Alligator mississippiensis: one gene and its partner. The protein of the gene in region 1 purifies or fractionates together with the protein of each later gene. This does not show direct contact. Links are inferred from orthologs where the notes say so. Each region holds a gene or a part of one and is shown on either strand. Other genes may lie near its edges. The genes, in order: TUBGCP2 and MZT1.

Region 1 (15,666 bases):
CTCCTCCAGAATCTTCAGCCAGGGGGAGTATACTTGCCCTCAGGAGCTTCTGAGGCCCAGCCAGTTAGTATCTGGGGATGCCAGCCCCCTGTGTCAGCCGCCCTGCTATCTGGGCAGCTATCGCCCAGAAGATGTGCTTGTTGTGGTGGCCTGCTTTGAATTGTCAAAGTATGCCCTCCTGGCCCTAAATGGCCAGGTCAGCCACCTCATCTGCCCTCCAACTGGGTTCCCGGTGCTGACCCTGGGTAGGTTCCTCTGCCCGGGGTCTCACCACTTGTCTCATCAGCAGACAGTCTGGTGTTTCCTGTTTAAAAATTGCAAATTCTGCCATAAAACCCCCCAATTTCTCATTAAAATACCCCAAATCCATGTTCTTCTGTGATTAAAATGAAACACCACTATATAGAGAGAGATCAGTTGGGCAGCGTTTCACTGATATATTTACAATTTAAAAACAATCTGGAAGTCTACCAGTGCCTCTATCACCATAATAAACAAATTCTAAATATTTATAGGCTTTGGCATTTGCTTTTGTTTTTTTTATCATAGAAAAACCAGAGCTGTCCCTGTCCCCTTCGCTCACCAGGATGTGGGGCATTGCGCAGCATTGATATGCCAGTGCCCTACCCCTGCCCCTCACTCTCAATTCACAGTCCTCCCCAGTGCCCCTCACTCCTGACCCACAGCTCCTGCCTGCTCCCACTAGCTCCCTCCCGGCAGCAACTCCATCCCAGCACCAGGACACGAGTTCAGCAGCAGCTGTCTCACCTGCTGCTTTGTGGTTCTGAGCAGTGCCAGTCCTTGCTGTTCTGCTCCCTGTACCTGTGCCCAGGCCTCAGCAATCCCCATGCCATTCCTGGGAAGCCCCTGATTGTGGCTTAGGGACTGGGCTGGGCAAGGCTGCTCTAGGAGGGCAGGGGGGCTCTAAACCTGGTTCTGGCAACCTCTCCTACCCAGAGCGCTTCCCCACCCCCAACCCCCATCTCTCTTTCTCACACATACACCCCTGCTGCCATCTCCACCCCTCTCACCAGTCCATCATACCCCCCACTATGGGTTCCTGGGACAAGGAGTTCCTACAGGCTGGGGATGCATGTCCCAGCACTGGTGTAGGCATGGAGCAGGGCTCCAGTGGCAGTTGCCCCTGCAGCCACAGCTCCCAACAGCAGGTAGTAACCCAGCCCTTGTGGCTGCCTGGCCACACAGGGTGTGAGATATGTGGGAGGATATGTGGGGGCGGGGATGTGGAGTTTGTGGGTGGGTGTAGGGTTTGCAGGGGTGAGGTTTGTAGGAGGTATGGGGCTTGTGGCTGGGTATGTGGGGGGAGGTTTGTAGATGTGGTGTGGGGTTTGTGGGTGGATTGTAGGCGGGGGGGGTAACTGCTCAGGAGGGATGGGTCCTGCCATCCCCCTTCCGCATGGCGCACAGGCCCCCCACAGGAGTAGCAGTGGCTGTCAGGTGCTCGGGGCCCACTGCTGGCAGAGCTCCCCCCTGCGGTGCGGCACAGCTCCAGCTTCCTGAGATCCAGCACCACCTGTGCCACATGTTGCAAGCCTGGACTGGGGCTGTAAGTCTTCAGGCAGGATTGGGCTGCTCTTCCTGTCACCCGGGGCCCCGGCACTGCATACAGGGGCCGTACATTGGGCCGGGCTGGGCCCTTCCTCCAAGAGCCCTGCACACTGCTGGGCTGGGTCGGCTCCATGGAGGCAGGATCTGGCCTGGCCAGACGTGCAGCCCCTGCGTGCAGTGCCAGGACCCTGAGTGACAGCAAGAGTCTCAAAGGCGCAGAACCCTGGGCAGGTGGTTCCGGGTCTCAGGTGGCCCGGGCTGTGCCGCAGGCAGGCTCTGCTAGCAGCAGGTCCCGAGTGCCTGACTGCTGCTTCTGCTGCTGTGGGGGACCCACCCTTCCTGAACAGTCCCCCTCCCCCCCACGTCCCTACTTACCAGGGACAGCACCTGGGTCCAGGTTACTGCTGCAGCCTTGCCCTGCTCCTATTTGCCCCAGCACACTGAGGCAGCATGTTGGGGCAGCAAGAGGAAGGGGCAGCCATAGAGAAGCTTTAGCAGGGTGCCAGAGTGTCTCGTTGGAGGACCCAGCCTCTGGTTGCCTCAGGGCACACTCCAAGATGCCACCTTTTTCCGAGGGGCGGGGGTTGATACTGGGATTTCCTGTTATCAAATTTAGAGTCCGTGTTGCAAATATTTTTTGTGTGGTGAACATTTTTTTGTTCCCAGTGTGCCTCTTGTGGCATCTTAAACTGCTTTGAGACACTGCAACAGCTACATGCCTGTTTATATATAGTATAAACTATGCATTTTTTAATTATTAATTTTGCATCTCAGGCCAAATCAGTCAAATTAGTTTTGAATTTCACCCACTGAGCACAGCCCAGTTATTCAGGTCCACATGGTGTTACCACCAGCAGGTACAAACTATGCATTTCTTTTTTAAATTAAATTTCGTGCCTCAAGTCAAATTAGCCAAATCCACTCCAAATTCCATCAACTGTGTAGAGCCCCATCGTTCAAATCTATGTGGTGCTACCACCAGCAAGTATCTTACTTCCCAGCCTCTTCAGCCTGGGCTTTAAATACTCCCGTGCAAAACCAAAGCCAAAAGGCTCCTGATTTACCTTATAGTTCATTGAGCTGGACCCCAGCACAGTTAATTTTTTTCAAGCTACGGTGACCCCACAATTCAGTATATGTGTGTACTCCAGATACCCCTCACAAACAATTCACGTGCTAATTACACACCCACTCACGATTACAACCAAATTTCCTTTGTCACAAGTCTTGGGATCTTTCAAAAAAATTATATGCAGAGGAGGCACAGAGCAACCTGGTCTGACTGCACCTCATGAAGAGCAGAGCTGCACTAATCATATATGAAGGCTGACAGAGGGGGGTGACAGAGGGATTCTCGGTGAACTGTTTGGGGCCCCATTTGGTGACGTTTGCTAGACCTTTAAGGCTGGTGAAGAAAATAAATCACTGGAAACAGGAAAGTCTCAGCTCAGCTGTTTAAGTGAAGGCGAAGTCAAAATGTATGAATGCAGTGGCTCACTATGACCTGAAAAAGTCAGTGCTGAAGGTGACTGCACGCAGTGGGCACTACCATTTATGTTATACAGATTATGGCTGAACTAATCTATCCTTGTGGCATGTTCCCACCAGCATCTTGGCCTTTTGGGTAAGATCAAGCATTTTTAGCACCATGGGGAGGGTGTCAGGGCTGGCTCTGGGCCTCCCAGTGCTGGACTGGTATTGCAGGGGTGGCTCTGGGCCTCCAGGCTTGGTGCCAGCTCCCTCTTAGGGGAGCAACTGCCTGTTTGTTTTTTTTTAAGGGCCACAAAAGTTTCCCATCAGTATGTTTACCTAATACAGGCCATGTGTTTTATAATCATGGTCAGTGTTGGCTGCATTTAATCAACTTCACAGTTGGTTTCCATTACTGAGCACATGCTGCTTTTGGCAGCAGTTTAATTAGGCAATGTATTTAATGAGGTTTCCTTGTATGCAAATGTAAGATGAGTGTCTTTTTCATCTTGTATTTGAGTAATCAGATCAGGGGTTGACAGAACATGGTCTCTGATTGCTCATATGTGAACTAGAGTCATGTTGGCAAATCTCCATCAGCACATTTGGGACAAGAGCCATTTACCTGTAGTTTTCTACCTTCTCCATTTCTGGCATCCTTGGAAGAGGTTAATCAAAGTCATACACGTTTCCCTCCTCTATATTTATCTATCTACACCTCCCCCCCCCCCAAATAGAGGGGGAGGGATAGTCTGTCTTCTAGGCAAGAGATCTAGCCTTGCTTTTCCCTGGACAAATTTCTTACCTACTCCAAACCTGTTTCCTCATCTGCCAGACAGGCATACCACTTTCTTACTGAAAAATATGACTGTGAGGCTTAAAGCTGATGAAAAACTTAGAAATCCTTTGATACAAGTAATTTGAGGCTGCAAAGGATATCACTTTCTTTTTTCACCTGAAATAGCTTGTGTCTTGTACTTTGTTCAGACATAAAACTTATTTGTAGTCAGTGAGAAGTGACTAGGGTATGGCAATTTCTATCAGTGAAAAGGGGGTCAAGCTGCAAATTCAAAGAAAGAAAAATGTTTGAGACCCAGAATTTTAACACTAGAAAGTTCTCAGGCACTGGATATTTAAGAATAGCTTTACTTGCGACTCACCATGCTTTGCTTTTCTGCCATTATCTGGAAGAGAGAGTCATGCCACTCCAGGATGTGAATATCCAACAGATGCCCTGAAGGAAAAGAACGTTTGCAGAAAGAGCACACATTCCTGTGTAGCGTGTTGTAGTGATGTTCATAACCCTCTAAAGTATCAAAGACCTGGCAGCATCCCGCAATATGACATGAGAATTCAGACACCCTACAAAGAAGTGATGAAAATAGTTGTATGTAGGTTATGTCCAGGGATCATGGGTCCCCCTACCTCCCTGGGAGTATGAGCCAGAAAGGGGTGCAGCCCCGCAACCCAAGCCCACAGCTGGCAGGCAGTAGGGTGCAGGAGGCCAGGCTCTGCTTCACAGCAGCAGCCGCCGCCTCCTACCAGAGGCGGCCCCAGGTCCCTGGCCCCATAGCCCTGGCAGCTGGAAGTCTCCTCCAACAGGACTGGGGAAGCAGGAACTGTGGATGGGGGGCAAGGGGCACCAGCAGGGCTGGGGAGCTGTGGGGGGGAGTGAGGAGCAGGGCTGGGGGGTTGCGGTGGGGAGTGAGGGGCACCAGCAGGGCTGGGCAGCTGCCGGGGTGGGGGGGGACTTTCATTTTAATCATGGATTTGGGGAGTTTTCTCAGAGAATTTTTTATTTTTATGAGAGCATAACCAGGATCCCTGATTATGTCAAAGCCATCGACAGCATATAAATCACTGCCCTCTGGAAATTTGCATACACCTACATAATGTGTAGTTTTAGGTAGCTTTGATTACAGACTAATCAATATAGGGAAAGAAGGGGACTATTAAACTGGAGGCACAACAGAATTGGTTTATGAAGACAAAGTAATTAGGAATGCTTGTGTGTGAACTCACACGAACTTAAACTCCTTATGTGAGTCTCAGACCAGCCATAATCTGCATATTAAGAATATAGTTATGCATTGTAAGGATGGACTTCTAATTTAGTAGGGAATTAATTAAAATTAAGCAAAAACATGAGGTGTGAGCTATCCAATTTCAAAACCACAACAAGGGATTAAAAATCCACATTTGTAGTCCTCTGAAAGGTAGCTGTATTTACCCTCAATCTCTGTTGTCTTATTTACCTAGTCAACAGCCAAAATAAAGAAGACCACAAACACCTGAACCTGCACCTTACCCTCCCCCCAGCTTAGTGTCTATATATTCCAGTCAGGAAGGACCTGATGGTAACGATTTGTGCCAGTCTAAAAAATAACATTTCTCTGTTGACATACCGTTATGCACAAGCAACAATAAAATGTATACCACTATATAAAAGGCAGGAAATTGGTTTCTTCTGATCTGAAATCAGACACAATTAAAAGTCCTCCACAATTACTTTCATTAGTGAATCCAGTTTAGAAAGACGTGTACAAACAGAAAGCAGAGACTACAGAGATAGCTAAGAGGAGGGCCAGAAAAATTATCAAAAGCCTCTTTTGTCAGCAGACCTCACAACACAATTTGTATGATATATGCCACTTACTTGGGTTTTTCAGTCACTTGTGTAACACTCACTAGAATATCTTGGAGATACAAGTGTCTGTGAATGTCTCCATCCTAGAACAGAGAAGAGAAATTATTGCCAGTCTACAGCAGTGCACATTCAAAAAACACATTGAAAATCATTTTTATTCCTAACACGACACTCGGCTAAGGAAGAGAAAGAGGTGAGAACATCAATTGGGGGCAAAGGGTCATATATTGCCCCAACTTTAAATCCAATCAACAGAACAAATTAAAAACATAACTTGGCCCTCTTCACAGAATATGTTTGATGCCTCTAGGGTAATGTGCAGATACACCAATACCCTTTACTGTTTCTATGAGAATAACTTCAACTGCTTATCACAGGTCCTTTGTGACTCTTGCTCCATAAGGTCAGGCCTCTATCATATGAACTAAGGAAAAAGCTCCTTTAGGGCCCAGAACCTGCAGACACCTATTCAGCATTTAGTGCCCATGAATTCAAGTATTTGTGGACTGTGCCCCAAATGTTAGTAGCAGAGTTCTTTCTCCTGTTGCTGAGAAGTTCCAACTGGCCACAACTAATACTTCACAGAGACAACTGTGTTCCTCATGTGCTTGTTACAGTATTTATTTTTATAAGACCTTGAAAGTGGGCCATGTCCCTTTACAAGATCCACTTTACTATATGTAATTCATGTCTACACAGCTTCTTTTCTGCCACCAAAACCAAGTTCATGCAGCAGTGTGCATCAAGACCGTTGGCCACGTAACACGACATTCTAGGAATATCTAGGCAGCTTTCCAACCACCTCAGTGGGCAGAGCAGGCACTTTGGAGATATCCTACAGCACAGGAACCTGTGGCCAAGCACAGGAACCTATGGTTAGTGGCTAAGTAGTTACATGGCAGAATTAGAAGGCTCCGTCTCTAGTGAACCAGCAACCTGCTGCCTGCCACCCATCCACTGATTTTTGTTAGTCCATACCCCAGCCAAGGGCATCCACCTATGAGCTGCCAACCCTGCAGGCAAGTAGCTATGGCATGGGTGGCCAGCCTGTGGCTCTTCAGAAGTTAATATACATCTCCTTGAATCTTTGCACAAGCACACAGTCCAAATTGAAGCTGGTCACCGTGTGCTTGTGCAAAGATTCAAGGAGATGTATATTAACTTCTGAAGAGGCGTATGTGACTTTGGAGCCGCAGGCTGGCCACCCCTGAGCTATGGGCTCAGTTGGGAGTGCCTCCTTAGTTTATAAGGGAAGCCTCTTCAAGAGACAGGAAAACATCACAGAAATCATAGAAAATTAGGGTTGTAAGGGACCTCAAGAGGACATTCAATCTAACCACCTTTTCAAAGCAGGACCATCCCCAACTACATCATCCCAGCCAAGGCTTTGTCTAGCCAGGTATTAAAATCCTCCTAGGATGCAGATACCACAACCTCTCCAGGGAGTCTGTTCCAGTGCTTTACCACCCACTTTGAGAGTTTTCCCTCATATCTAACCTAAACTTCCCTTGCTGCAACTTGAAATCATTGCTCCTTGTTTTATCATCTATCACCACTGAGAACAGCTCAGCTCCATCCTCTTTGGAACCACCCTGCAGGTATTTGAAGGCTGCTATTAAATCCCCACTCAGTCTTCTCTTTTCCAAACTAAATAAGCCCAGTTCCCTCAGTCTCTTCTAAGAAGTCATGTGCCCAGCCCCCTAATTATTTTTGTTGTCCTCTACTGAATTCTCCCAATTTGTCCACATCCTTTTTGTAGTGGGGGGCCCAAAACTGGACACAATACTCCAGGTGTGGCCTCACCAGTGCCAAACAGAGGGGAAGAATCACTTCCCTCAATATGCTGGCAATGCTCCTACTAATGCAGCCCAATATGCCATTAGACTTCTTAGCCCACAACCCAGTGCCCACCTCTGCCTGGCATCTGTCACGCCTCACCTGGCAGGGGAGGCATCATCTGCATGGCCGTGAATGACTCCGGTGTAGTTACATGGGTGACCCGTGCTGCCTTAGTCGGGGGAGCATGTACCCCCCCCTGCAACCAGTCTAAATGCCCAGGGGGAGGGTCCCCCCGCAGCCAATCCCACTGCCCGGAGGGAGATCCCCCGCGGCCAATCACTGCAGTCACTTCCATAAGGGGAGAGCCTGCAGCGATTGGCCAGGGCTTGCAGGGGGGGGGCCCCGGCACTCCCGTTTGCCCGCCCTGCCCATCACCTAAGCAGGGAGCGCAGCCAATCAGGCGGTGCACCAGCGCTCTCAGGGGTGCAGATGCAACCCCGTGCACCTCCTATGCATCGCCACTGTGTAGGTAGAAGGTGAAAGCCTGTCTATAAACGTTTCCAAATGCGAGCACTTCGGCTACACAATTTATGGTGAAGGGGGATTGCTTGTGGGATTTCCGTCTAACTTGCTCCTTCATCCTTTTAACTAGAGGCAAGTCAGACGAGGGAGCACCTGACCTCCACGGCCTCTGGGCTCAGAAGCAGAAGGCCGGCCATGGCCTGGGGAGACGCTGAAGCGCAGGCTGACCAGTAGGGGAGGGGGGCCGTTGCCGGCGGCAGGGCCACGCAGACTCAAACCACGGAGCTGTGTTCAGCCGAAATCCGGGAGTGAATCTGGAACCGCTGCGCCGGTGAACCCCCACGCGCGGCGGGCCCTACCTCCAGGAGCTCGTGCTCGCGGGGGCACCGCAGGCGGCGGGGCGAGAAGCGGAACGGGGCCTGCGGCGGGGCGCGGGCCGGCGCGGGCAGGAGCGGCAGCTCGGCGCGCACCGCGGCGCTCAGCCCCGACAGCAGCAACATCCCGCCGGCCCGGCCGGCGCCGAGGGGCGGGGAGAGGAGCGGACAGTTCACTTCCGGGTCAGCCAGGACTGAAGACCACGACTTCCGCTCGGAGGCAGCTGCGAGACGTACAGCCAGGCGAGACCCGCAACCGCCAAGCACGGGGGGCGTGGCGCCAGGCCTTCGACTCTGCTCTCTGATTGGCTCTAGTGTCTCTACCGTCATCTCTGTCTCAGCCAATCGAAGCTTGCGCGGCTCGGCCGCGGCGTTGGCCGTCACTGTTTGTCGGCTGCGAGGAGGAGGCGCGGTGCTGTGAGGCCGCTCCGCGGTGACCGCGGCCGGGCAGGTGGGTGCTGCCGCCGAGCCGGGCCGGGCGGGGGGAGCGCGGCGCCGTCTCCCCGCCCGCCGCGGCGCCCCAGGCTCTGGCTCTGGCTCTGGCTCTGGCTCGGGAGCGGCGAGGGGCCGGATGCCCTCCCGGAGCCTGAGCGGGAAGGGTAGCGGCGGGGCCGGCTGAAGGTGTCTGAGAGCAGGGCAGGCGGCAGCTCAAACATCATGTATATGGGTCCTTGCAGGCGGTTTTCCTGAAATGTTCCCAGGGATAATTGCTCCTCTGGCCTGGTTTAGTACGCCGAGGTGTTGGCGCTTAAAACCCACTGTATGGAAATGGGAGGCTCCTCCCTAGCTTGCTCCTGCGACCTTATGGCTGAAGGCAAGCAAAACTCGGGGGCATCAAAACCCCGAGCCTCCAGGCTTGGGCCTGCCCATAGGATGCCCGCCAAAAGCCTGGAAATATCTGAAGCTTCTGGTGGGGGTGGAGGATGTTTGCCAGTTGTGGGGCTACTTATGGTTTTGGACTGACTCACAGATTTGGACTTGGTTTGGCTGATTTGGCTCAGAACACAAAACATTTATTTAAAAAAGTTTTGGAGCACCTGTGCAAAGCCCTTGAGCAGCTTGGCTGCCGCGTTGGGTTGCAGCGTCCCTCACGGTCCCGGCCGGGCTGCGAGCACCTGGGACGTTTCGGGCCGGCAGCAGTCCTGCTCGCTGTGACTCGCTGTGCACTGAGACGACGCTTCCCTTGCTTCTGCTATCCCTGTGTGTCCTGTCCTGTCCTCCCTAGACTGGGTCTGATGTTATTAGCTGAAGCAGGGCCTTTCTGGCTTTCTGCGGATTCTATGTTCTTTCTTTTTCTGGCCCTTTTCTACTTAAGTTATTTACTCACAAGAATTCAAAATCTCTCGTTTTCTGCTGTACTGAAACAGGATTTTCCTTCATACTTTAGTCCCAAATGTGAAATTAACTTCTCTGTTTAAACTTAGCGTTATTTTTCCCTACAGATTTGCTGTTAGTATGTTAGTTTCTTATAGTAGTTTTTGCTGGTCATTCCCAGTGAAGCTAAAAGCAAACACAGTGTTAAATTAACCCGGTGTACAGTAAGTTCTTTCCCAGTAGCCATAAATCTCTCTGAGGCTTCAAGAAAATACATGATGCTAAAAAGCAGAAACTGTGTCCAGCTTGGCTGGCAAGACTCTGCAGCCCAGAACTACAGTTGTGTTGGCAAAACTAAGTGACTTTTACCAGCACTTGGCAGCTGGCAGAAGACGTGTGGCCCCTTCTCTGCCTTTTGATGGTTGTCCTGGTGCCTTCCAAGGTTGCACATTGTACTCTGACAGCACAGCTGCTGAATTTGAGCTGCTCAGAGCCACAAGAAATGTATGGATGCCCACATCTTCTGGTGGGCAACTGCTGTCTGGTCCCAGACATTCTGGTAAGCAGAGCCAGGCAGAAATCTCCCCTTGGGTTGTCAAAGCTGAGAACATCTGCTGTGATGTTCTAGGTTCTCAAGCCTCTTCTAGACCAGGATTTGGATGTTGTTCAGGCTCTTAGCATACCTTAGTCTAGATAAGGCTTCAGTCTGCTCATGTGAGTTGAGCAGAATACTAAAGCAGGGACAGGCCTGGCACATCTGAGACTGTTTTCTTCTCTATTATCTAATCTAGGTCTCCATACTATGCTCTTCAGCTTGGTATCTAATAACAACTTGCTCTTTGTTTCCTGCTGTTGAGGTTCTTTGATTTTCTCCTGTGATTCTTATTTGACATGTGCATTTGCAATGCACTGTTGGTTAGTGGCCTTTCTGCCGTTCAACTTGTAACTGGAGAGGACTACATCGGCATCAGTGGGTTCACAAAACATACTTTACATTTATCAGTGTAACTAGTGAGAGGCTCTGGATCTGTCCATCAGATGAGCTAAATATGGTAGGTGGAAGAAGCCAAGAAAAAGGGATATTTTCACTTTTGCACACTGTCTCACATTGATTTTGTTAACAGGTTGCCTATGTGGGGAGAGATCAGAATAGCTGTTCTACTCTCATCTTTCTGGAGTAGCTCCCTCATGTGGACACTTATTCTGAGATAAGTGGCTTCTGTTTCAGAGTAGCATCCAGAGGAGGAACTTGTTCTGCAGTAGCTAAGTCTTATACCAGAATATTTATGCCAGTTAATTCTCACTGCATAGACAGTTATTTTAAATCAGCTTTTATCATTTAAGTTCACATCTTATTTGGGCATTTGCTGGGAAACAAAAGTAACTATAAGGGACTTGCATTTTCTTACACCAAGATAACCACGTATGCAAGCCCTTACCAGCATGCAGAGACATCTTCAAATCTAGTCTTTACTGAAGAGCACTTACTTAGTACTATGCAAAGTGTTTAAGTGGTTTAGGAATTTAAGATTTTGTCTACATGTGAGATTATTAAGGCACCTTATGCATTATGCCCAAAGTCCCATTTTCAGAAATGATTAAATACTTGAGAGTCAAAGTCTCATTGAAAGTAAATAGGCTTTTAGTCGCTTAAGTATCAAAGTTACTTTGGAAAATGGGACATGGCTTGTTTAGCCAATATAGCTGTACTGGTAGAACTATGCTGGTATTCCTCATTAGTGGAAATAGTTTAAGAATAGATATACTAGAGCAACTTATTCTAACCATATTTATATCGTTTTTGTCAGCTATGTCAGTTGTGGGTATGACTTTCCCTATTCTATCTTCTAATCAATAAAACTATGCTGGCAAAATTTTAAGTGTAACCTGTGCCTTAAGCATTTAATCCTTCTTTAAAAATTTACCCTGACCGATTAGTCATAATGGTAAGAGGTTCATTTTGTGCTCTACAGTCTGTGTATTTTGAAATTTGTAACCGCAAGTGGAAGCATGAGTGAATTTCGTATTCATCATGATGTCAATGAGCTGCTGAGCCTGTTGCGTGTTCATGGAGGAGAAGGAGCTGAAGTATACATAGACCTTCTGCAAAAGAACAGAACTCCTTATGTTACCACAACTGTCTCTGCACACAGTGCCAAGGTAAGGTAGCCTTGACTTTTTCTAGGCTGCAATAATAATTGAGATAAGTTTTAATTAGAGGTTGGTCTTCCAAAGGTTTCTACTCTCACTGATGTCACTGCAGAAATTTCATTGACTCTAGTAATAGCAGAATCACATGTAAAGAAAGAGAAATTCAAAGCTAAGTTAGTAGAAAAACAAAGGGTATCCTTCCCTGTTGCTGCTTTGCAGCATGTCCGACAGGAAATGAAGCTGAGGTGAGGCTGGCAGTGGGGAGAAAAGGTGATCTGGTCTGCAGCAGAAGAGGAAGGAAAAGTAAGATCATATTTCAGGAAGGGAGGGGAGGGGGTTTGGCTTTCTGTTCTCAGAAGCGTTGTTAAAATAAGAGGAATTTGCTACAGCAAAGAAATTCATGGCTTGGTATCTGCCTGTGGCTGGATTTTGCCTTTCACTAAAATAAAAAGGGTTCCGATTTTGAGGAATAAAATAAAAAATAGATATTCTGTCAAAAACACTTAATAAAAATCCAGCTTTTTTTTTTTTTTTTTTTTTTTTGACTTAAGCACTTTTAGCATCCTGTAACATGGGGGCAGGCAATTATTTCAGCTGGAGGGCTGCTGAATGAGTTTTGGTGAGCTGTCAAGGGCTGCAAGGGTAGCCCCACCCCTTGACAGGTACTTTACCTCCTGGTCACCATGTTGGGACCTGAAGTCTAACCCCTGACCTTTGCCACCGGAAGTCCCTTCCCTTGTACCCCTGGAAATACTCCTTTTGGGAAGGGAGGCTTGCCATCTTGGAACCAGAAGAAAACCAATTCATATACTGAAAGTCAAACACCTACTATAACGTACTTTAGTTTTCTTACAAAAATTATTTTTGTCATGATTTGTGTTTGTGTACTGAATATAGAGCTGATTGCATAATAACTAAAAATAAAGCCTTACTCTTGTATATAGTGTGTGGGAGGTGTGAATTGTGGGGTGTGGTTGGTGGGGGGGTGTATGGTGAGGTCTGGCTGTGTGGGGGGCAGTAGGGTATGTTGGGGGTGTGTGCATATGTTGGGAGTATGTGGGTGTGAGGGAGAGTTGGGGGTTATGGGGAGCCCCTACACATTCCTCCATCCCTCTCCCTCATGGCGCACAGCTGCGCTGGCAGCAGCAGGCAGGGATCCTCGGGGCACTTGTGGCTGGCACAGGCGCTGCCACCAGCAGCTTGTGGTTCTGTCAGTTCTACACATGGCGGCAAGTAGCACAGCCAAACCAGCTTGCCTCTATCGTGCAGGGCTCTCCGCAGCTCCCACATTTTTGTACCACCGGGGGAAGCCCCCCGTGATAGAGCTGGCTGCCTTTGCCACTCCCTGCTGCGCAGGTCCTGGGACTCCATGTGGAAGTAGGGGACAGGGCTCCCCTCCACTTCAGGTGGAGTCCTGGGACCTGCACAGCAGGGAGCAGTGAAGGCAGCTGGCTCCATTGCGCAGGGCTTCCTACGGTGGAGCGTGAGTGCTGGGACCTGCACATGCAGTGCGTGGAGCCCCATGCAGTAAAGGCAGGCTGGCCTGACTGTGTTCCTTGCCACCACGTGCAGTGCTGGATGGAGCCACATGCTGCTGGTGGCAGTGCCTGCGCCAGGCATGAGCACCCAAAGGGCCCCCGCCTGCTGCTGCTGCTGCCATCAGTGGGGACTGTGTGAAGGAGGGTCCCCACACCCCACCACCCTCCCTTATATCCACACCCTGCTCAGCCAAGCTCCGTACTCCCACTACCCCCTATGTGTGGGCTCCATGCTGCTGCCAGCCCCACGTTCCATGCTTCTGCCCAGCTGCAGCTACCATTTGCCCCCACCACTTCCCTACCTGCTGTCCAAAGCGAGCAAGACAGCAGGGAAACCAAGCAAGTCCCCCCAGTGGCTGCAGCAGTGGCAGCAGCAGCCCTGCCTAGAAGCTGTGTGCTGGCTGGGCTGGGCCTTTCTGCACGAGGTGCAATATGGTGTGTTGAGGGTATGTATATATGGATGCCTTGCTCCCACCCCCATGGCCAGAAAGGCTGGGAGGGGTACAATTTGTTGGTGGGCATCCATGGGCCAGATGAAAGTGCCTGGTGAACCAGATGCAGCCCGTGGGCTGTATGTTGCTTGCCCCTACTGTAACAGAACTGCTGCACCAGGGTGGCTGTCATGCCCCCGGATGGCAACTTGGCTCCTGCTCCGCTCTCTCTCAGGCACCCTCCCTTTCCTTTTTCCTGCCATGCCTTGGTCTTATTAACAAACTTGGAAAGGGAGGCTGCTCAAGGGTATTAGAGTGAGCATTTACCCCAGTGCTTCCCAAACTTTTCAACATGACCCAATTTATGACCCCATTTCCTCCTCATGGCCCCTCATTCCCAAACCACAGTACCCCATCCACTGATTTTGTGGGTCATGACCCCAAATGGGGTCACAATTTGGGAACTGCTGATTTAGCCTGTCCTCTTACCTGCAGATCCCTCTTGGACCCTGCTGCTCCCAATCAGTCTGTCCCCATCTTGGCCCACATATACCGCCTCCCCCCAAGGGCACCTGTAGCCCTATGGGCTAATCATAGCCTCCAACCTCTCCTGTAGCTGTGCCCATGCCTCGCAGGTGTACCAATTAAACACTTCAGTGGGCTCTAGGCCCCAGTCTCTTATCCAGACTTTTCCCCCTTTTTGGTCTCTTAATCTCTGCCCTTCCTGGGACTGGGCTTCCTAGCCTGTTTCTGACCCTCTCCCCCCCCCAGGCTCTGAGCACCTGGCCCTCCCTTCTTTGGACACTGGGCTCTCTCTAGCCCCTTTTCTACCATTCTTTGGGCCATGCCTGTTCCCTTCCTGGGATGTGGGCTCTTGCTAGCTTTGGCTTTGTCTCTCCTGGGCTGCTTGTCTGGCCCCCCTTCTTCCCCTCACCCCCCAGCAGGCTCAAGCCTTATTTGCCAGTGGGACCTCCTGTCCTCCCTTAGTCCCAAATCAGGTCCCTGGTTAAAACTCAACTAAAACAGAAGTCCACTTCCTATAACTAAGGACCTACCCAAATTGCTGAAGCAGGCAGCTGATTTTGTGGGTGGATCATGGGACTGGCCACCACTTTCATGGGCTAATCATGGTGGGGCAACCCCTTGTGGACTCGATCCTTGCCGCAGATCCACCAAGAGGACGCTCCATCATATGGCCCCACCCCTTGCCACTGATCGGCCAAGAGGGCTGTCCATCATGCAGCTCTGCCCTTTGCTGGTGATTGGTGGGGAGGGGCAGGGCCACACAGTGGGCAGCCATCTCAGCCAAGCAGTAGTGGGGGGTGGAGTCAGACATCTTGGCTGCTCCCCTTCATGCTGGCAGCGCTCCCACCCTCCCCGTTCCCCTGGCAGGCTATGTGCTGAGCCACAGTGGCCCTGAGGACTTCTGGCTCCCAATGGAGAGTCAGCATTTTAGTTTCAGTAAGTCGTCCCATGTCCTTCCTCTCCTGCATGTTTCATGGACATTGCCCGATTTCTTGACTTTCGCTAAATTGTGAATCGAGTAGGTCCCTAGCTATAACTTAATTCCCCAAGCACGCTGGCTGTCTTCTGAAATTTCCTTCCATACCAAGTCTCATCCCCTGCCAGCCCTTGGCTCCTTACTGGCATGTCTTAAGGATAGTAGGATCTCTATTGAGCTCTCATCAGCCGGCATCTTACTGCAGAGCTCCTTCCTCTTCAGCCTCCAGGGCCAGACTAACTGCTTAGGCTCTGGCCCTGGTTTATATGCCACCAGAGCCCTGCCTCCTTCTAGTCAGGTGACTCCCTGAGCAGCCTGTAGGTGCCTTCTAAAGAGCTTACTGCCCGTACGGATAACCTATAGCAGCAGA
Region 2 (16,020 bases), on another chromosome or scaffold:
AAATGTTCTCAATCTAAATGATATGGGCATAAAAGTGTACAACTAGACACACTGTGTCTCTATTGCTGTGGCACCTCTCATTAGACCCAAGACACTCCTCAGAATACACCAGTTCTTGGTTTTCACTTGTTTTTTGATTATGGAAATTAATAAAACAATTCTTCAATTACAAAGAACTCCAAAAGACCACAACCATTTTTGACACTATGAATTCCTATTTGAAATCTATGAAGTTATGTATACGTGCTTGTTTCTATACACAATAGGGCTGCGCAGAACACCTGTGTTTCATTTCAGTTTCGGCATTTTGGAGAAATAGTGTTTCGAATCATTGTCCCATTTTGTTTCAGCCGAAACAGTTTCGGAGCCGTTTTGGAATTTCGATGGTATTTCGGTTTTTCAGCCATAGGCTATAATGGGGAAATATAAAACTGCCCCATAACTTCATCATTTTTTGTCTGATTCAGATTAAACATGCAGAGATGCTAGCTCCCTCTGAGGCCATGAAGCCTGCTAAGTTTCAAGGCGATAGGTGCAGGGGTTTCTGGGAAACTGCACCTCAAACTCTTCAAAGCAAAACTAGTATCACTTGCCAGCAGCATGCTGTCATCCCGCATGCAGATCCAGGGGCCTGCTCCCCCTAGGAGGAGTCTGGCACAGCCTCGCAGCCCTCCTGGGGGGTGTGGGCCCCTAGATCTGCATGCGGGATAACAGCAGGCTACCACTGCCAGCTGGTGCCAGCGCCAGCACTGGGTTCTTCCCAGCACTCAGCACAGGATGCACTGGGCAGACTCGAGTGCTGGTGCTGGCCCCAGCTGGCAGCAACAGCATGCTGCCATCCGCACGGTCCACAGCCGGTGAGCGAGGAGCTTTAAAAACAAAAAATAAATTAAAAAAAAAGCCCTGCACTTACTGGCTCTGGCAGTGGTGACTGGGGCCTGAGGGCTTGTGGCAGAGCCCCTGCCCCGCGCAGCACGGGGCAGCGGGGGATCACCACCCCTCCCCCACCTCACATCTACACCATCACCATCACACGGGTGCAATGCGGCACAGCAGGGCACTGCACGCTGCACTACTGTTCATTTTACTTGCATAACATTAATATACAATTTAATATAAATATCAGTCTTATTTACCTCTTCAATTGCTTTTTGTCTTTTGTCTTCCATCTCTTTATCTAGTCTAAATAAAGAAAATTAAAAAGCAGCAAGTTACAAATACTGTTATTATATTTGAGGTTCTGGAAATTAGAAGTTCATTAAGTGTACACCATTTAATAATCTTAAACTAAAACTAAGTATCAAATTTTACCAAATAAATCCATGCTAGGAATAATTCTTATTATGTGCAGTTCCTCTGTAACTATCTACTTTAAAAAAACCCAAAAAACTAAGTTCCACAATAGACAATTTTAATAGCAACACTTGAAAAAAAATAGTCTTCATAATAGATCTCTTCTTCCATCTAAATCCTGGAATAAAATAGAGCTTTGCTTATAAAAATATTCTACTTCTAAAATTACTATAATGTTAAATATATCCTTATTTTAAACACGACAAAGAGATTTACTATGAAGAATAATACCAGGTAGAGGGGGGAAAAAACCGCAGTGGAAAGCACATAAAGAAACATGTATGTCAATGTAGTTATTTCTGACAGTTTCTACCTGTCCTCAGTGTATAAATCCCTCTTCAAACAGTATGCACGTTATCCATCTTATCCCAGCCAATATACAAGAATCCCAAATTTCCAGTATGAATTGTCTCGTGCATTCCTTTTATATAATCTTATACAAAATAGTAATTCCAAAAAAATCTTATGTTAAATTATATTATAGTTTTCTGCCAGTTCAATTTTCTAACCATTATTCAAATCATTTATTTAACTGCACCTTTCAGTTTTCCCTCCCTGTCAACAAAGTATATATTAAAACTCTCCTTTCAGTAATTAATAACAGTATAATTCACAACCAGAAGAAACACATACTGACAATTAGTTGTATAACCTCTTGTACAGAAAAGTATTTCAAGTGTTTGTATATGGTTATTATATGTGAATAGCTTCAGATCATGTTTTTATATTTAGAAACCATTTGGGACAAATACCTGAATAACTGATGGAGCTATAAATTAGTTCAAAACACTATATAGAAGCCCTTTGTTGCATTACTGAACCTGGTTATTTATAAGTATGTTCATCCTCTGTTATCTCCCTTTCTCCAGTCATTTTTCTGACTAGTTTTGCAATACCTCCAGAAAATTGCCACATATAACTAAAAATGCAGATAGAACCAGTGACATGACATTGTAGTGAAAGCATCAGCAGTGACATAACTAGGGACCTACTCAAATCACAATTTCATGGATACTGTAGATATTGCGAAATCCACAGGAAAAATAAAATAAAATAAAAACTTACTAAAAATAAAATGCTAGCTCCCCAGTGTGAGCCGGCAGTCTTCCTGGCCATGCACACTGGCACTAAGGGGGCTGGCAGCACTATGGCAAGCAAGCAAGAGCCACTCCCACCCCTCACTGCTGACTGGCTGAGAGGGCTACCTGTTATGCAGCCCTGCCCCTCTCCACCCATCAGTAGCAAGAGGCAGAGCCATATGACAGTGAACGCCCTCTACCAATCAATCAGCAGCAGTGGGGAACTCCACTAGGGTCCCTCAAGCAGAGGCACAGGGAGCCCCACCACAATAAGCCCGTAAAAATGGGAGCCAGCCCCGTAACCTGCCCGTGAAATTGGCTGGCTGCCATCTTGACTTGGGTAGATCCCTAGACATAACTCTTATGATACCACTATGGTTGCTGCTGCATATGAAAACTGTGAAAGCTTGGACAGTCTCTTGCGTAAAAATGCAGGACAGCAGCTAAGACCAGACTGTGTTGTGGTAACAAAACTGCCACAAGAAATATCAAACTCTGCTAATGGCCTGCAACCCATTAGGCACTGAAACAGTGGAGTGCTTGCAGTACCCAATACCAGACCCATGCCATAAAATAATAAAAGTGGTTAAAGTTGTTGGCAGAGTCCTGATGCACTCATCACGTGTGTGTACCTAAAAAAGCCCTACACCTGTGGAGGTGTAGGAGAGTTGGTCAGCCCTGTAAAGGCAGGAAAAACAAACTAGAGGAAATTCCCCACGTACCAGTGACTGAAAGGTGTGCTTCTGCCCAAAATCTGTAATCCAGCCTCTTTACAAGATTGTTCCATGGAGCTTGGCATGACAAATAATGGAGAAGCAAGATTTTATATCCATAACAGAGACTTAAAAAAACAAACTAAAAATCTAAATAACTGCAGGGAAAAAAGCAATGTTATATGCACTATCATTTAATAGAAAATGTTCACTCTTTATAGAGATACATTAAAAATGTACATGTGTAAGCACAACTTTCAGGTATTCAAATATGACTTCAGTTCACTAGGTAAAACAACAAGCAACATACCTAGCATGACTTAAATACATTGCTTGACGTCGAACATCTTCAGAGTCAATTTCCACAGGATTTATTAGAGCCAGCTGATCAATAGACCACCTAAATTTTCCTGGGGTCTAAGAAAAGAAGGAAGAGCATAGTGTTTACTATTCCAAGCAAAAGGAAACAAAACCCACAGATCTTTAAAAGGAACGGCACTTTCATTACCTCACTAAGATGGCAGCAATTGTTTCAATCAGTGAAAGCTAGATATTTAAACAACAAAAAAGGAGAAAGTGACTACTTACATTTTAATAATTTTATTTTTAATAACCAGTACCAATACCATAGGAAGTGAAACAACAAAGTCTATCTACTATTTTGCATTAACTGATGCTTTCCATTATCGAAGCTCTTAACAAATATGTCTCAGAGAACTACTATGAGAATACCACTATGCCCCTTTCACAGATGAGTAATGGAGATGGAAGTGGTAAATGATGTATCTAAGGGTCAGATCCGGTTCAGAAATTAGGTCCCTAAATTCAAAACTGAGATCCAGAAATACCTGTTCAGCTGCCATCTAGCCCTGTAGGAGCCTGAAGTCATTGGTGCCTAGAAAATTTTAAAGTCAAGAAGTATGTCACCTAGAGCTACATCTCCACATGTGGCACAAGATGATTCCTGTCTGAACAACTAGGGCCAAAATCATACCAAAGACCAGCTAAAATTCAAAACCTAGAAAGTCCCCTACCTAAGTCCCCTGATAGACATGAACTGTGTCTTCAGAGCACACCTAACATGCATCCGTATACAAGGCTTCATTCATACAAAAATGCAGTTATGGCTGCTTTCTTTTTAAAAAGGGAAAGAAGGTGCTAGTGGTGTCCATCTTATGTGATAGCCCAGTAGCTACAGACCTCACCAGAGACCCAGATTCAAACCTACATCAACTACCTCCCTATGGAGTTATTCAGGTAACCACTGGACTCTGCATGTTCTGTGGTAGAGACACTTCCCATCCTCCGTGTTGAAACTAGGCCACTGTATAGAAGAGAGTTCAAGCCTTAAACAAGGCCAGATAAAGCATGGAGTAGGGGGCATTATGACTATTGAGTTTAAACTTACACCCAGCCTACTTGAATCAAAATGTTGGAACAAGTGTTACTGCAGACAGCATTTCTCTAAAGAAAACCTAGCTAACCAGTATTGTTCATCTTTAACTCAACAATACTATTAGAATAGTGTCATGTACAACTAGCTGGGTTTTCTTAAAATCACTAAAACTGCAGTAACATCAAGACTTTCAAAACAGTTACACAGCACTACAAACAAACCAACCATAGTAATACTGTAAGTTTCCACAGAAGGAACTATGTTTAAATTCTTGTAAAAATATTTCAAGTTGTATTACAAATCATGTGTACTTTACGAAGTGTGAAAAATGTGTATGTGGAAGTATTGCTATTTCTTCCATATTCATGTACTAAGGATTAAATCTTACCGATGAGGCTTTCGTTGATTTAAAGACAGAAGGACTGGAAACCACGTGTTCCTGCAGACTATGGTAATCACTTGGACTTTCAAAAGGGTTCAGAACAGCAACCCGTCCTGGAGTTTCCGGTGTTATATGCATTTTAGCTTCTTTTCTATCACCCATAACACAGTACAATACCTAGAAGGAAAATAAGAAGTTATAATTTTAGATCATTCAGTACCCCATGGTTTTGCAGTAAGAAACGATCGTTTCGAGAAACATTAGCAATTCAAAATCTAGTCAGACTGAAGAGAGTACAAGAAGTTTAAATTTGGTCAGTTTTCTGATCGGTTTCAGATAAATCAGAGAAAGAGAATTAGGCCCCTGCTACATGAGACATATGTTATGCAACTAACTGGTTAATTGTGCAATAAGTGTAGACCAGCTACATGTGCAAGGTAGTTATCATGCAATTAACTGGTTAACTGCTCAATAAATTTAGGCCAGCTACAAGTACACTGTAATTATCACAGGATAATGACTCTATACCTGGTTTCTATACCTGGTTTTAATTTGAAGGTGAACCTCAGTGAATCCATCATTCAGATGCCATTTTCATTGACCCAGTACAGACCCCAAAAAAGGTTTACTAGATAAGATAGCTAAATATGCCCCAGGATATTTTGAAGAGCATCTCAACAGACATGTGGGGATTGCATCACTGGATCAATGCCAGAAAAGCAGCCATGCGTTCAGCCACTAACTAAACTCCAACTGGAAGGGCAACATGTACACGGCTATCACATGACTTTTCTGTTCCAGGACAATTACCTGCACAATTGGTCCCAGGACATACAAGATGCCTGTTCATACCCTAAGCGTGATCCTATTCCACCCAGTTTGAATTCCTGGCCAATCATCCAAACCCATACATCTTGCTTTGTAACTGCACTGATCTTAACCTTAAGACTCCATCACAAAAAAGTAGCAACAAGGAGGTGGAGAAGGATCCAATACGGTTTTAAGTTTTCCTGGGGCTTTCACAGTGGAAGAGAACCACGCCTAGGGACTGTTGAAACAGACGGAACAGCATCTGGCCTCAAGTGTCTGAAGAAACCTCTTTACTGAAAGGCTGTATATGGAAAGCATAACGGTATACAGGTACCACTCAAAACCATGCTTCTCCCAGAGAAGACAGAACCTTTTCTTGGATAAAACCTGCATCCTCCACCCCCCTCCCACCCACAAAAATGAGTTCAGGGAAAATGGGATGTGCATTATATGCAATAAATACTGATCCTCAAGACAAGTCAGTCCAGAGGCTGCTGCGACCATTGGGGTACCTCAGACCCTGTAACAACCCTCCTCCGCTCCACGCTGTGTTTGACTAGCTTTGTGCACTCTTGTCAGTTGAAGCCCCGCCCAGCCCTTGATACCGATTCCCCCAGGTCTGGAAATTTTGTGGGGGAAAGCAGTGGCTGCATTAACTAGAGTCCCAAGCCAGATGACACAGCCCTAGCATCGACTGGAGCCAGCACACAGGATTAGAGAGCAGCTTTAGCCCCGTTACCACAGACAGGGGTTGAATCCAATGAGTGCCCTTTAACCCACCACACCAGATTGGGCAGATGAGAAATATCTGGACTGGGCACATGGCCCCAGCACTGCCTTAGTTGTATGCTTATCCCGGAAAGTAAGAACTTTTTCTTCTCCCTTCAAGCTGGCCAAGAAAGTCAAGTGACACATGATGCACAGGGCCTGTGGCAGGCTAAAAAAAAGCCACACTATTGCCACTGAAACTTTATTTTTAGGAAATTAAGTGAAATATGCAACCAAACCTGGAGGGGCAGTGGGGGAGGAAAGGAGGGGGAGGGAGGGAGAAGGGACGAGGGACCCCGAGGCTCTTTCCTTCCTCCAGCTTTGCATCCGCAGAGCCCCTCGATGCGCCACTTCTGGCCTGTTCTGCGCATGCGCGGTCGTAGGGTCAGCACCTCTCAGAACCCCGATTCTCTCCTAATCCCGGCCCGCTCTGTGCATGCGCAAAGACAATATCCCCCCCCCCCCCCAAGGAAATAATCAGCCTAGGGGGGATGGGGGCTCTAGCCCGCACTAGCCCAGGAAGGCCTGTGTAGAGGGAGAGGGAAAAAAAAGATGACCCAAAAATTGAGCGATACCTGCCTCCGCCCGCGGATCCCTGTGAAACCGCCTCTGCCTGACCCCAGGCAGCTCTTTAACTGGCCCGGCCCCCACGCTCCGCCGCTACCCAATCATCGAGCGCCGCCTCACCTGCCTGACCAATCGCGTGGCAACCGCTCTCAAACAGCCCAATCGGCGCAGGGCTCGCTTCACAAATTCGAACGAGTAACCCTCCTCACGGAGGAGTAGGTGGGGTGTATTTGAAACATCATAGCGGGCCGGGCAGGGACGGAAATAGCTCCTGAGGTGTAACTGCATGCGCCGGCGAGAGGTGGGATTTTTGGGGGGGGAGAGTTGTTTTGTTTTGGGGTTTTTTTAGTTTTGTTGTTTTATATAAAAATAAATTATATTTTATCTTTTCCTCCTAACAAGGAAATATAATATATTTTCATAGAAAATATAATATATATTATATGAATAAATATATACAATTGAATGTATGTTTTATGTATTTCCCTGTTAAGAGGGGCTTCCGCTTCCGGGTTTGTGCTTCCGGGTGGCGGGTTAGGCGCACGCTGTCTGTCACCATGGCGAGTAACGCGGCCAACTTGAACGCTGTGCGGGAGACCATGGACGGTGAGTTGGGCGCGGGCGCTCGCTGCGGCGCCCGTTGGATCCACTCGTATTTGGCGTCCGAAGCGTCCGGAGCTGGACCGGCCTCAGCAGGGGTTTGCGGCAGCAGGAGGAGCAGCTCTGTTCCTTCCCCCGAGGAAACGAGCGCCGCCCTGGTTTCCCCCCCGCGCTCTCCCTCCCCGCGCGGTGGGCCTGCAGACTTTCCTCCCGTGCTTGATTTGTGCGAAAGAAATACGAGCACGGGTCAAGACGAGAACAGCCCCGCCGTTAGATGCCCAGGAGCAGTTTAGTGTTCAGCGACAGATTTCCAAAACACTGATGGGGGTAGGAGGGAAGGGCAGAGGCCAGTAACGAGTTCTCCAAGGGGCCCCTTGGCCCCCGTGTGATCCCATGGAGTGAGCCCGCAGCACTGCCCAGAGGCTGACGTGGATGAAACAAGCCTATTGGACACCCACGGTGGTGTCCTAGGCCTTGAGTCCTGGAGCAAGGGTTAGCCACTGCTAACGCAAGAGGGGTATTAGGTAGGTACCAGCTAATTACAAAGCGGGAATGGAAGTGAAGGTCAGAGGGTCATAGCTAGGGATCCTGGTTTTCTCTGATTTAAAAAGTATAAAATCTAATTTTCAGATTAAAGCAGTAACTCAAAATCCACATGTTCCTGTGGTTAAAATGAAAAGCCACTAATATATAGATATGTATCTGTAGCTTGACCAAATCCACTAGATATTAGTGGCGCTTCATTTTAATTGTGGAAAAATGTGGATTTTGGGTTACTTTTGTCTTAAACTGAAAATTGAGAATTTTTTTAATCGGAGAAAACCAGGATCTCTGTTCACAACAAATGCACCAAGAGGGGGCTGTGAGCACAGGACACTGGACAGTGCCCACTGGCCCTTGAACAAGGTGGATGAGAGGCAGGAGGATGACCTTGCAATCACTGGGGGTCCTCTGGGCCAGAACCTTCTTCCTGGTCAGGCAGATGGATGCCGGGTAAGATGGAAGTATGTAATTGACCCAGTAACTGACAGGTCTTATGAAGTGCTGTGACTCCATCACCAGGAGGCAGGAATGAGCCCACTATATCTGGACTTTTTTCTTCAGGGTCCAAATGGTGAGGGACTTGTGGCTAGGGGCATTTGCCTTTTCTGCTTTCCCTTCTGTAAACCCAAGTGCAGTGGTGCAAAGTCTGCCATGGGCTTGCCTCATTTGGGGTGGTCTGGGGGAATGGAGGGGGGGAAAGTGCTTAGATTTGCACTTTTGACTTCCTAGGGCCTGGGGAAGTATAATGAGGGGCCACAGTGGAGTAGGGAGTGCAGATTCAGCTGGTTGTTGGATAGCTTTGGTTGAACGAGCAGTGCAAAAGAGCTCAGTGATGAAAATGCCAACACAAGGGGAGACATGTCAGAGGTAATAGAGTTTGGGAGAAAGAGGTTGATGCAATGAGGAGTTAATGGAGGACTGACCAAACTGGTGTCATGGAACATTTTGTATCCACATCTAATATCACAGTGAACTGGTTCAAAAGGTACCTGGAAAATCAAGCACCACTTTTGACCTGTTCCAGGCAGCCTTATACTGTTATAACAGGCCTGTACACCTGTCTGTCTCAGATTCAAACTACATTTACACTAATCTGAGTATTCCTGGAGTCCAGACCCTGAATTTTTCTGTTCATTGTTCTGTTAAACAATGTAAATAAGCTCTTTCCACTATGTAATCAAGGTAGTGATTTTCTGTAGCTTGATCAAATCAAGTATGCTGGGTGAGCTTGAGATATTGTCTCTTTATAACTATTTTGTTTTTCAGAATCGGGTCCTATTTTGTTTTTTGCAGCACAACTTTATTGTGCCCATTTCAGTTAGTTACAAGTCGGTTTTTTTCTTTTATTTTTGTGACCAGGCACAAATGGGGCAGAATGAGGTTCACCCTTCAGTACCCAGTCTTTGTCTAGAGAATTCTTCTAATCTCTCTCTAGACATAGTGAAATAGTGGGATAATTAGATACAATAATAATGGAACCTGAAGGTACTTTAAAAAAATTGAGTAAAAATAGATGTTAGTGTTGCTCTGATGTTGTTTTTTTTTTCCTGTCAGCAGTAAGAGTTACAGGAAAATGGCTGAAGAATTTTTAGGTTCATCAACTGTGTCCATTAGTAATTTTCACATATGGAAACTGGATAGGCCTATTGAAAAGACCTTTGTAAACAATAGTTTAGGGAAGAGCTCACAATGGTGGTATAAAATATGAGAGAGAGATTGCTAAATATTCTTTCCTTCAAACTTGTTAATTAGTTTAAGAGTTAAATTTCTTGTTTGAGGGGAATAAGAAGCAACACTTCACATTTACTTGAATGAATGGGTGGCAACAGAGGGTTTCAAACACTAGTTGGGAACATAGGTCTAGAAGGGTTGATCATGTTCCATGCCCTAATATCAAAATTGATGATGTCATACAGTCACTTTCATAAACTGCCTAAGCTCCATTTTAAACCTAGTAAGAACTTCATACCCATTACTGCTGTTGGAAGGCTGTTCCAGAGCTATTTAGTTTTCATGGTTGGAGATTTTCCTCTAAATTTCCAACCTAACATTTTATTATACTTCCAGTTTCTATTCATTGGTTCTTGATTCAATGGTTATCTGATTCAACTTCTATTTTAATGTTTTACTGTTCTCAAGAAACCAAAGACACTTACTGAGTAAGAACAAATCATAAATTGAAGTACCACTTTCCTGAGCTGGGTTCCAGCGGCACTGTCAACGTGGTTCTGGAAGTCAGAGATTACCACCACTCAGCCCTTGCCTGCTCCCTGCACACATCTTTGTCTGCTAGGGAATTCTGGGTTACCATTGGCAACTGAGGTTCATGGCAGAGAGAAAATGGAGGGCAGTGCAGGGAAGGTGAGCAACAGCAGAATTCACCTTCTGGGTTCCCGAGCTGTAACAAGCCATTGCCCTTCTGCCAGAGGTGGATTGTCTGGGCAGCCAGAAGCCTTGAATTGGACACCCTTGTATTAGGATATTGCATAAAAGGTGGACACTGCCTCCTCTGGCTCTGCTTTTTAATTTAAGTAGCTGTCTGCTGTGCTTTCTGAATTAAGTGCTATCACATGTATAGGATCCAGGCCCCTCAGAGGACTTGCACACAGGAATACCCAAGTTTGTGAATCTTGACATGCTTAAATTGGAGATAATCACCAGGCTATCCAGTTTTGCCATGTTTGTGACAGTTCTGAGCATTCCTGCAAGGATAACTCTAGGTCTTGGAGAACTTTGCTGGCAAAACTTATGACACCTGTAGAATTTCATTCGTGTAAGTGGCTCTTGTGTGCCCCTGACATATTGTTTTGGGTAACATTGTGAAAGTGCCTAAGTCTGTTTGTCTTTATTTTTTTTAAGTTACCTAGGCAGTGAAGACCTTAGTTCTGTTGACTTTCAAAGAAACAGGCTACAATAGGCCCAGATGTTTAAGGTATTTAGGTACCAAGAGGAATTTTCAAACGTGCCTATCATCCTAACTCCCAGTAATTTCAGTCATGAACACTAGAGTGGTTTTAAAATAAGGTTCCTGAATTATTTATCAGCTTTTCAGAATTTATCCTTTGCCTTGCTTCAGTTCTTTAAGTGAAAGATGAGGTGAATAGTACTGGATTTGCTCAAATCCAAGACAAGGTTTTTTGGGTTTTTTTTCTGATTTTAGCATTGGGGTGGTGGGGAGCTGTTGTTAGCAGGCAGCTGCTGTGGCTCTGACCCAGAGTCAGTGTCAGAGCTGCTACGTCTACCCGCCCCTTCCCCATCATTGCCAGTTACCTTCCATTTCCATCCCCACTCTAGCCTGGGGCATGGAGCACATGGTTGAGACTGGTGTAGCAGCTCTGTGTTTACAGCAGTGAATCTCAGCCTTTTTAGCCTCAAGCCACCCCTCCATAATCTTTGAGAATTGTGTTACCCCAGCAGAGTCACTGAACTATGCATGCCTTGATGTTAAAAAGATTAAGAACCACTGGTCTCCCTGGTGCCAGGTAAGAGCAGAGGGCAGGACCTTACTCTGCCTTGCTGTTTCCACTGTCTGCTCCTTTCCCATTCCTGATTTGTCCCTAAGGGGACAAGGGCATTCCCAACTGCTGAGGCTGCTCCTTCAGGGTCTTTCATATTGATAACTGGGGCAGCTGGCACAGGAACTACCAGGGGGTGGAGGGAAGAGCAGGGGAGGGCAACTGCAACAGTAGTCTCCAGAGGAGACCCAGGTGCCTGTCTAGCTGGGAGCAGGCAAGGGACCCCTGGCTAGAGGAAGAAAGCTTTTACTTCGTCATATGGGCTGGATGGTACAGCACTCTTAATGTATAAAAACAAACTCACGATTTTTTTTTTAATAATTGTAGTTTTATTCGAGATTTCAAGAATATTAAACACTGGCTTGGATATGGAAACCTTGTCTATTTGTGTACGGCTTTGTGAACAAGGGATAAACCCAGAGGCCTTATCCTCTGTTATTAAAGAATTACGTAAAGCTACAGAAGCTCTGAAGGTAAGCCATCTTTAAAAACAAACTCCATATGTTTTTCATTAAAAAAAAAAAAGTTACAAGTAATTAGAAGTTCATGTAAAAATTGTGTACATTCTCATAAAAATTAAAAATCCAAGGAAACAAATTTTGTTGGCTGTACTTAAGCAGCTGTACCTAGTAAGGATTTTTGTCAGTAGGATAAGAATTACCGTTTACTGGGTCAGACCATAGATCTTTCTTGCCCAGTATCCTATGTCACACAGAGGCAGAGAGTAGATGCTGAAAGGGAGAGTGAAGTGGGTATGGCCAGGGTTTTCTCCACTGTTTTCTCTCACTTGCAACCTCCAGTATTTAGGGTTTAGGTCAGGAACTTCTGATTCAGAGGCTGTATCCCCAACTCCACTGCTAATAGGTACTGATGATAATGAATAGCTAATAGCTACTCTTCCAAGAGTTTGTCCAATCCCTTTCTGAATCTCTAAACTGTCACCATCCACAATATCTGGTGGCAACAAGTTCCACACTTTAATTGCATGCAAAGTAAAAAAGAGTTTCCTTTTGTTGATTTTTAACTTACTACCTGCTAGTTTCATTTATGACCCCTAGTTCTTGCATTGTGTGAGAGAGTGAATAATAAATCCCTATTTACTTTCTCTTCACCATTTAGTATTGTAAGCTAATTATGTCTTCCCCCCAAGTGTCTCTCTTCAAAATGAATAGGCACAGCCCCTTTAGTCTCTCCTCATATGGAAGGCTCTCCTTAGCACTAATCATCCTTGTCCTTGTCTGTATCTTCTCTAGTTCTTCTATTTCATTTTTGAGGTGTGGGAACCAGAACTGAGCACTATATTCAAGGTGTGGATGCTCCATGGATTTATAAAGTGACATGTTGATACTTTCTGTTTTGTATACAATTCCTGTCTTAATGTCAAACAAAATGTTGGGTATTATTTTGATGGCTGCTGAGCACTGAGCTGATGTTTTTAGTGAACTGTCCACAGTGACTCCCAGATCTCTTTTCTGTGTAGGAACGGCTAATGTTGAGCCCATTGTAGTATATAGTCTGGGTTATTTCTGTCCATGTGCATCATTTTACATTTATCTACTTTGAATTTCATCTGCCATTTAGTTACCTATTCACTCAGTAGTGCCAGATCCTTCTGTAGTTCCTCACAAGCTGCTTTGGTCTTTACCACTTAGAATAATTTTGTGTCATGTGTAAATTTGGCGACCTCACTACTTCAGCTCTATATCTGGGTTAGTTACTCTTAATTGAGGAAGAACTTACTTCTTAAGTAATATTATACAAAGTTCATTTAAAAATCTAAGAAAAGGCTATAATCTTTATAATGTTCTTTTACACTGTCTATGCTCCTTTTTCATATGAAACTATCCTAAAACCAAAGTATATTTTAGATCAGAACTGTTCAACCTCTAAGCAGCTCAGGACCACACTAGTGTGAGCCAACTCATTGGTGGCATCCCCACCACCAGTGCACTGTGTGTGGGTGGCCCTCACCCCAGCTCCCTTGCTGCACCACACTGCAGCTCCCACAGCACCGTAGGCTGCGCCACACCACCCCCGGGACAGGAAAAAAAAACAAAAGCTGAGTGGGGCAAGGGGAACCTGGAGCCCATGGCTAAAGTTGTAGGACTAGCTGTGGCCGAATAGGCCCAGGGACTGCCAGTTGGACAACCCTCCTTTATATGGTCAGCAAAAACATTATTTTAAAGAGACTATACAGTGAATATTCTAAATAGTTTAACTACCCTATTTGAGCTTCAGAGCCATTTTGTAAGAGCAGAAAATATTATGTGATTGAATCCACTGTACATGTAGGTTATTTATTTGGAAGGACAATTTCAATACAAAACCCAAATATAATCTTGGCAAAATGTTTGCTTTGCACCTTCATGTGGTCAGAGATTTTCCTTTTGGTCTTTTTTTAAACTGTATCATGAATCCACTGTCCCAAATTTGTGTAAATGAAACTTTGGACTTTGGTATTAAACTGTAACAAAGCAGAAAAGCATACTTTCTATGTATTTCATCAAATGTGGAAGAGAGCAGGTGTGCATAAATTGTACACAAACTGTTCTGTTCTTTCTTTATAAATGACAAGAGGGTGTGATCTTGTCGTTCTGAGCCATAAGTACTGTATGTACTCAAATCCAAGATGAAGGTGTTTTTTTGCCAATCACCAATGGTGGGGAGGGGAAAGCAAGGAAAGATGGTAGTGCAGCCTCTGACTTGAGGCCAAGCTGGAGCTGTGTTGCAGTGAAGAGGAGGTATGCATGGGGGAGACTGCACAGCTTTCTCCTGTTCTCCCAGTTGTTTAGAATTCAGCTCTGGCTCCGACCCTTACGGGCCTGACCCGCCTAGACCTAGAGCTGCCACTGCTGCTTCTCCCTGGCCAGGCAAGGACCATTGCTGCTGCTGACAGCCCCACAGCCAGAGGTAAGGAATTGGGGATGTTATGTGCCCAAGGCACAAAAGGATTGCTAAAGCATAATCAACCCGTAGTGAACATGGAATACACCTCGCATCATTCAGTTGAACTAAAATCTAACTTTATTAACATACTAAGTGTATTAATAGTTTCTACATAGAGAGAAAAACACTTAGTTGAATTGTCTCACCTAATCCCAGGTGTTACTTGACTTCACTGAAAAGGTGGCCAATCAGTTCCTGAACGTAGAGGTGGTCGTATATTAGGGCTGTGCAAAATTTCAGCAGCCATTTCATTTCAGAGGTGTTCTGGCTCACGAAAACACCGAATCCAAAATGAAACTGAAGGCTCCGAAACATCTTTGAAACTAAATGAAACCTTCTGAAACGTGTCGGAAATGTTTTGGAGGCGCCCCCTGGAAATTGTCTGGCACAGCCCCGCAGCCCTCCTTTTAAAGTGCCAGGAGGCTGGGGTGGGGGATGGAGCTGAGCAAGGCAGCCACGAGGGCTTCTCCTGTGGCTCCCCCCACCAGGGCAGAGGCAGGCACAGCCAGAGGAGCCTCGGGAGAACCTGCAGCTGTCTGGCTTTGCCTACCTCTCCCCGGCCAATCCAAATATCTGAAACAGCATTGAAATTCCAAAACAGATTCGTCCGAATTGAAGTGGAACAGTGATCCAAAACACCAAAACAAATCACTGTCCTCCGAAACGGCCAAAACCGAAACGAAATATAGCCTTTTCACACAGCTCTTTCATCTATAGGTAATGTCTGTTTTTTCAGTCCAGATGTTGAATGGCGAGACGCACACAACTTCCATGTTCCCCCCTTTTATGCTTTTTCTTTAACTTCATTCCTCTGACTCTTCTTTTCCAGGTACCGTGGGTTGGTTTCCCTGTGATCATCATACTGTTCATGTTTTTATCTTGTCAGCATATTTCTTTGTTTCAACATCACATGCACACATCTTAATTTGGGCATTCCCCAGACTTCTGATTTGGTCTGTCCATCAACTCCAGAAACTCCAAGGGCTCTACAGTTGGGCACTGTCCAGTTGGTCCCCCCTTATCACCTTTCATTTAACATATCCAATCATATTGTCCCTCTGATTCAGTTGAGTGTCAGTTAATTTGAACTCATAAAAGGGCCTACATTTCACATGCGTGTGTTAGTGACACTGGAACATAAGCTGTCTGTGAAAGCGAGCTCAAGGATAGCTGATGTGTAGACGCAAGCAAAATGAAAAAAAAATGTTCAAATAATAATGCAGCTATACAAAAACTTAAGCAGTGGTTAAATAAGGCTGAATATAAAAGAAAAGTTTGAATAAAACTATAATTCACCTCTTAAGCAGGTGCAAGTAAAGCTAAATGTGATAAGCTACCCTAATGGGGA

The links.
Region 2: the proteins of TUBGCP2 (region 1) and MZT1 purify together in Homo sapiens (affinity purification with mass spectrometry; 4 studies listed by BioGRID and IntAct, counting the BioPlex papers as one, with this or other methods). This does not show direct contact. The link is inferred for Alligator mississippiensis from reciprocal best matches to the Homo sapiens genes TUBGCP2 and MZT1.

The regions. Positions count from the first base shown.
Region 1 is NC_081829.1:23,827,779-23,843,444, reverse strand, and holds the start of TUBGCP2 (gamma-tubulin complex component 2), read left to right. Parts: upstream 1-8,658; 5' UTR 8,659-8,812; intron 8,813-11,648; 5' UTR 11,649-11,685; coding exon 11,686-11,835; intron 11,836-15,666. Other genes in the region: ZNF511 (zinc finger protein 511), read right to left, coding at 4,200-4,401, 5,696-5,769, 8,347-8,487. UniProt on the Homo sapiens protein: Component of the gamma-tubulin ring complex (gTuRC) which mediates microtubule nucleation.
Region 2 is NC_081824.1:390,147,385-390,163,404, forward strand, and holds the start of MZT1 (mitotic-spindle organizing protein 1), read left to right. Parts: upstream 1-7,582; 5' UTR 7,583-7,625; coding exon 7,626-7,674; intron 7,675-12,053; coding exon 12,054-12,199; intron 12,200-16,020. Other genes in the region: BORA (protein aurora borealis), read right to left, coding at 1,137-1,182, 3,456-3,562, 4,930-5,085. UniProt on the Homo sapiens protein: Required for the recruitment and the assembly of the gamma-tubulin ring complex (gTuRC) at the centrosome.